Caenorhabditis elegans: one gene and its partner. The protein of the gene in region 1 purifies or fractionates together with the protein of each later gene. This does not show direct contact. Each region holds a gene or a part of one and is shown in the gene's direction. Other genes may lie near its edges.

Region 1 (3,801 bases):
GGATTTCGGTTTCGAGATTGGGTGGAGCACGTTTTGGAGGTATTCAAGTGCTCGAGGATTCACACAGTTTCAGTTTATAGAACAATGAATGAAGGGAATTGCATAAATGCTTCCAAAGTCATAAAGGAGTTCAGAGTGAAGACAATCAGATTGGCCGCATGCTCGAGAAGTCTTGAGGAAAAGATTGTTACTAATATTCAATGCAATGATGCATTGTTTGTTTCTGAACCTAGCCGGAATGCCCCTATGCCTGCCCATGAAGTACTTCTTCAGAATTTCAAATCGGCCTCGTTTGCATCTATTAGTCCTGGATTCCAGCTCACTTTGAATGATCTACTCATCATAAACAGCTCGTTACCGAAACTCATCAGCTGTCAAATTTCTTCCAAAGACTTGAATATTTACATCAAACATTTGATCAATGGATCCCATCAAATGCTGGAAAATATTCAATTAATCCAAATTGGCGGCACACCTTGGAACAAGAAGATTGCCATGAAGGATGTTCCTTTTATTGTGTACTCGCCGCAGTTTGAACACGTGATTCGAGGAGGTGATTGGGAAAATGAGAATTATTTTCTGGCGACGCGGAACAATGGAAAAAGCCTTGGTCTGGTCTGGACGTTTGTTGAAGAAAGTTGTCATATTGTAATTCTTGGTAGATAATGTTTTTGAATAAATTGTTTATTGATCCAACTCTCATTTTTTTAATCTGGTGCTTTTTTTGGGCAATTTTCGGATATTTTTTCATGATTTTTTGTTAGACGTGAGAGTGTCTAATTTTTGGTTTTTTTCCCTGAATTCTTGAATTTTCTGGAATTCTTTTTTCTCTCTTCCTCCCCGCCAAGCCTAAGCCTAAGCCCAAGACTAAGATTAACCATAAGCCTAAGCCTAAGCCTAAACTTACGCTTAATCCTAAGCCTAAGCCCAAGCCTATGCTTAAGCCAAAGTCTGAGGCTAAGCCTAAGCCTAAGCCTAAGCCCTATTCAATTATAGCAAAATTTCCAATGTAGATATTCATGGCGCCGTGGGCCTGGAAAACTGCAAAAAAGTATGCGAAGCGATGAAAAGACTGGCAGCTGAGAAAATTGATTTTTCGTCGTGGTCAAACAGTATTGTAACAACTGCACTCGGTAATATTCAATACAATAATATTTCACTCAACGAGAAGCTCAACTGGGAATCTGCAAAAGAGAGTCATTAAATACTTGCTCGCAACTTCAATTCGACCTCACCTCCCGATTCTCCCCCGGCACAGAGATTCCAGTTAAACGATGTATTGATCATAAACAGTTCAACTCTACACTTGATCAATTGCAACTGGTTTTCCAAAGACTTGAACATTTTCATCAAAAGTTTGTTAAATGGATCAAATCAAACACTGACATCTGCTCAGTTTCTGCAAATTAATGAAAGACCAACTTGGGACATGGCGCTAATAATGAAAGGTGTCCAACATTTAATGTGTTCGGATAAAGGAGCATTTGTACCTCGAGACGGCAACTTTAAAAGTGGCGACTTGTGCATGATTACGCGAAGCGATGGGAAGCAAATTGCTGTGAGCTGGGGGCTGCTTAGAAATGGTAGTGGTGTTGTTTCTATTTTTTTTGTATGAGCTTACTAATTCTAATTAATTTTCTTATATTGTTATGATCAATAGGCTGTTGTACCATGCCCCAGATACGAGCTAACCTCTTTTTGAATAAAACCGTTATTTTCTTCAATTTGGATATTGGATACATGTAAAGCTATGGATATAAAAATTGTGCTTTACAGGTAGCTGGTATAACCTCAGAACCAAAAAGGGTTTTTTACAGAGAAATTCATTCAGTTCTTGTTTCAGTTCACACAGGCAAAGCGGGCTTCTCCTGAAGAGTCGCCATTGGCTCTAATTGTGATGGGTGTTGTATGAGTTTAATTGTTTAAAAAAAAAGAGGTTTTTATTGGTCTATTTTGAGTCAAGGGCCACTCATCACAAAACCAGCGGATGACAGGAATACTAGGGGGTTAGACGAGTCTTGGTCATCAATGTGGTCCTTGGGTCTCGGGATCTTTTAGCACTTGTCATTGTCTACTACGAGTACGCCTTATAACTATCGATCGAAACAACATCTGCCTACAGCACCTTTTTTGTGCTCATTTGTGTCTCTTGCAGCCATGGCTACCAGTTTCCCGATTCTTCGCCTCCCTAACAAGATAATTAGGAATGTTGTTGAAAATCTGTCATTTTACAATCAGTATGTTTTCTAATATTTATACCCGTTGGCATTACAATTTTCAGATTAACCTTCTCGTTATGCTCCAAAGCAACAAAGTCTTGCGTGACGCCTCTCAGGCATAAAATTCGGAAAATCAATATTACTGTCGACCACCCACTTAAAATACATATATTCTCATCCAACAGTGTAATGACTTATTTGAGTTTTTACAAGTACAACTTTGACCTGTGGAACGTGCAATCTTGCGGTTCTATAATCGCCACCGAATTCGACACAAATTTCTTCGGAACGGAAAGTGTAAGGGAGATAAAAGGATTTGGACTGCGTGATTGTATTGATCATATTATGGAAATATTCAATCATTCAAAAATATTCGAAGTTCATATAAATGGCGTAATGGGCATACAGAACTTGAAACGTGTATGCGAAGCAATGAAAGGACTGACGGCAAGAAAAATTTTTCTCAAAAATTGGACAGACGAAATTGTGCAAAACGTGATATGTAGTATTCAACACAAAGGTATATCATTCAACAAGAAGCTCATTTCGAATTCGTCCTCGCTGAATCATGAAATACTTGTTCGAAACTTTTTTTCATTTTCTGCAAGCTTTCCGGAGCATAATTTTAATTTGAACGATCTTTTAATCATGAACAGCACCCACCTAAGAATTAGAAGTTCTCAATTGGCGTTCGAAGATTTGAATATATTCCTCAAACATCTGAAGACTGGATTGAATCAAACACTGATAGGTGCTCAGTTTCTGAAAATTCCTCAAGGACCAGCTTGGGACGACGTGAAAGTTTTGATGAACGGTATCCCTCATTCACGCTATCGAAATAGCAAACTTGTGTCTCAAGACGACAATTATCAAAGTGGAGATTGTTGCATGATAAATCAAGACGATGAAAGAAGAATTTCTTTAACCTGGAAGTGGACTCAACATGATGGGTCAATTGAGATTGCTATTGTATGAAATGATATTGTTTGAAATAATTGTTAAATAAAAACGTTTTTCTTGTTCTGTTCCGAGTCAGCGGGCCAGTCATCATCCGAAAACCAATGGATCACGGGGACCAGGGGTGTGCACCGAATATCAAAATTTGCCGTTCTTACCAACCCCCAAAAATGTGATATTTTTTGCCGTCTTTTGGAGCACCAAAACTATTGAATTCTTAAGACACATCATATTTCCGAATAAGTTCCGTGTAGTGTGTCTGCTTTAACATCGAAAGAACTCAATTTTGTGTCATTTCATTGAATTTTTGGGGACAAAATCAATACTGTTGGTCAAAATTGTATTGTTAAATTTTTGATGGGTGCGGCACATTTTTTTGAAATTGGCCGTACTCGGCAATATCGGCAAATTTGCCGAGCTCGGCAAACGACAAATTTGGCAAATTTACCGCACACCCCTGACGGGTATATTAGAGGCCAGGCGAGTCTTTGTCATCAATGTGGTCCATCTGTAATTATGTTTCGGGGGTGGGGGACTCGGACTATTTCAGCAGTCGTCATTGTCTACTAAGAATACACCGTATCGATCGAAACAACATCTGTCTACAGCTCCTTTTTTGTGCTCA
Region 2 (3,481 bases), on another chromosome or scaffold:
TTGTTTAGTGTCAATATGAAAAACGAATGTGCAAAACTGGTTGATGAAAGGCAAGCGTGAACTAGTACGTGTGAATCTGACATCTAAAGTTGAATTATAAAAAACTCGTAGGGAAAATACGGTAATCCATTTATCAGACTCAATTCAAATAAATATTCTGAAACACAGTATCAGAGTTCATAATCTGATGTTGCAATGTTATCAGTGAATTCAATTAGTTAGAATGTTTCGCCGATAACCCTATTTAGTTTTCTTTCCCATTTCAGCGGAGAATAATTATTTTTTCATTCAGTGTTTCAATTTATTTTTATTTTTCAGAAAATGGGTATTATTTCCATTATTTTCCTTCTTATTGGGTCTTCGACGGCTGCAGTCCTCGAACATCAATTAATATGGAAAGAATCTAGAATGATTGAAATGATCAGAAATGGAGAATATCCTGCCTATTTGGAGTACCGCGACCGTATGGTTGCTAGTAGATCATCTAACCTGGCTACTGTGGTTCAAAGCACAACAGATTATGTGTACTATGAGTACATGGGAAATATTACTGTTGGAACTCCTGATCAAAACTTTATTGTTGTATTAGATACCGGATCAGCCAATCTCTTAATTCCAGGAACTAATTGCACGTTAGTATTCCTGTTTTGAAATTGAATAACGTTTGTGATCACAATTTTTCGAAAGTTTTTTACAGAACGTACTGTGAGAAAAAGAGATTATTTAATGAAAAAGCTTCATCCACATATATTGCAACCAACCGCCCATGGCAGATCAAATATGCTAGCGGTGATGCCTACGGGACATTGGGAATTGACACTGTTAAGGTTATTTGATGGAAATTCTGAAATTTTACATATTTAAATGCATAAATAAATTGTAAAAAAGTATTAACAAAAATTTAATTAGGAGTAAATTCGTGTCTGGTACTGTGAATAACTTTTCTTGGAGTCATCTAGGATAAAATGGAATTTTCAGATCGGTGGATCAGGAGAAGCACAACTCGCTATTCCAAGATCATACCTTGGTGTTGCAGACACTGTCGGATCAGATTTCAAATGGGTTCGTTTTTTTCAAGTTCCTTCACTTTCACTATTTTGCATTTGCAGAGCCCAAAAGAGGGAATCTTTGGTCTTGCATTTACTGCATTAGCTGTTGACAACATTACCCCTCCAATCATCAACGCTATCAATCAAGGACTACTTGATCAGCCACTTTTCACTACATGGTTTGGTCAGAGAGGTGCTCCTGGAACTTCTGCAAGTGGTGCATTCACTTATGGAGGATTGGATAAAAACCATTGTGGGCCAGTTATTGGATATGCGGAACTAACTAATGCTAGACATTTTCAGTTCCAGGTATTTCTGGAGAGTTTTGATTTTTGTATTTTTTCTGAATTTCTAGGCAACCGGATTTTCTCTTGGCTCATATGTATCCACAACCACATATGAGGTAATCACCGATACCGCTACTTCATTTCTATGTGGACCTCAAGCTGCAATTGACAACTTGGCTAAAGCTGCAGGAGCTACTGTAAGCATGTACTTTCTGTGATTGCGTTAAAAATTACAAATTGTTTCAGTGGGACCCAACAAATCAAGTATTTAACATTCCTTGTGATGCCGACGCGGGGCCAATTAAGATGAAAATTGGCCAATTCAACTATGTTATTCGAGCAAATAACTACATTTTGAAGATTGATGTAAGTTTTGCTACATATCAAAAATTATGTGAATAATTTACAGACAAACTCCTGCCTTTTCGCTGCAATTCCACAAAACTATGCTGGTTTCGGACCTTCATGGATTCTCGGTGGACCATTCATGAGACAATATTGTAATGTACATGATATCGGACAGAAACGTGTTGGATTCTGTTTATCTCTTGCATAGACTCTTTCATAAATACATACATTCATATTCTCGTATTCTGATGTTTCTTTTGTTTTTGTGGTTCCTTGTCCTGTGATTTCTGCTATTTTCGTATTTTGTGGAAAATGAAAAGATGATGGACCATCGAAATGAGAGGAGGAAACGTAGTTTGTACACATGAATAAGTCACTTGACGCGTATCCATGGAGGTCTTTGTCTATAACGTTTTCCTTTAAATTTGGAGCGTCTCAAGTTCTTGGCTCATTCTGATTTTTTGACTCATTCACTTCCTCGAAATGCCTTCTAATTTTTACTTTTTCTTTTTCGCATTCCTAATTTTTCTTATAACTCCAACATACCCGCTCCAATGCCATCAATGCGGAGGTCAGGAAAACATGTCTAAGCTAACAAAGAAAATGTTCACTGAACTGAATATCAGCCCTGATAAGTACTACGGAGATTGTAAAGCAACGTCCGGTGCCGATGTTTGTACCAATGGAACATTTTGTATCAAAAGAGCAAGTATGATTGTTGTTTTTTTTTACGAATCACTGGTACCATTCTCTTTTTAGAAATCCACAGAGTTGGCTTCAATAGTATCAATTTCAAATGGACTTCATACACAAAGGTATCTAATTTTTTTATAAACTTGTAAAAGTATGCAACTGATCCTAACTTTCAGGGATGCGCTAGCGTTCGCGAAGACAACAATCAGACTCCATCAAACGGATGTTTTGACTTGAACCAAAAGGTCAAGAAAACTGGATATACTACTGTAAGTTGCGCTATTTTTACAGCACAGTTTTCAAACTTTATGTTTGTAGGAGCGCCTCGATTGCTATTGTGACAAAGACTTCTGCAACTCCTCGACGGCCGTTTCAATGACTTTCACCACAGTATTTGTGTTCTTCTGGTTCTACAAATCAATTTGAGAATGATGTTAGAAATATTTCTTGTTGAAAAATATTGGGAATTAGTAATTTATGTAGCTTGAGAATAATTGCTTGGGTTTCTGCTTTTCACTATAAATTCAAAATTTGAGATCAATGAATCTTTCATAGTTTTATAATAATTCCCAGATCATTATTTTCGTCTTCATCCTCTTCTTCAAAATCTTCACAACATTCCGATATTCTTGGAAGACTAATCGCGGAAGGACGTTGTAGGGGTTTTTCAAAGTCAATAGCGAGTTGAATCTAAACAAAATAAAAATTAATTAACTATTGAGCCTTTTTATATTCACCACATTGTCCAAATGGCTATCCGAAAGTTGGCTCGAGCTTCTGTACCAGTAATCTTCATCATCTAAACTTTCAATATCCAGAAATTTCAAATTTGCAGCTGAGCTTCTTCGTGATCTAGATATTTCAGCTTCTTGTACAGCTTCTTCGATATTTCTTTCCTTTCTCTGAAATGAAATTTGTAATTGGAAGAATTTTCTAGAATTCTACCTTTTCCGACATTTTCTTCTCAAAAAGATATTGCCTTCGCTTACTTGATACAGCGATCCACGAGATTTTCGTGAAGTATAGAATTAGCTCAGTTAAAGAAACAACTGACATTCCAAACCACAAACCGTTCAAACCAAATATTTTATCTAAAATTCAGAA

Evidence for each region.
Region 2: the proteins of fbxb-108 (region 1) and nssp-59 fractionate together in Caenorhabditis elegans (co-fractionation; one large-scale study listed by BioGRID). This does not show direct contact.

The regions. Positions count from the first base shown.
Region 1 is NC_003280.10:2,762,812-2,766,612, forward strand, and holds fbxb-108 (F-box domain-containing protein), read left to right. Parts: upstream 1-2,152; 5' UTR 2,153-2,157; coding exon 2,158-2,237; intron 2,238-2,281; coding exon 2,282-3,194; 3' UTR 3,195-3,235; downstream 3,236-3,801. Other genes in the region: fbxb-106 (F-box domain-containing protein), read left to right, coding at 1-666.
Region 2 is NC_003283.11:8,640,031-8,643,511, reverse strand, and holds nssp-59 (Protein quiver), read left to right. Parts: upstream 1-2,145; 5' UTR 2,146-2,167; coding exon 2,168-2,393; intron 2,394-2,443; coding exon 2,444-2,499; intron 2,500-2,553; coding exon 2,554-2,646; intron 2,647-2,695; coding exon 2,696-2,803; 3' UTR 2,804-2,916; downstream 2,917-3,481. Other genes in the region: asp-13 (Peptidase A1 domain-containing protein), read left to right, coding at 322-632, 698-827, 979-1,062, 1,110-1,358, 1,405-1,533, 1,583-1,702, 1,746-1,892; acd-4 (DEgenerin Like), read right to left, coding at 2,927-3,067, 3,115-3,279, 3,323-3,468.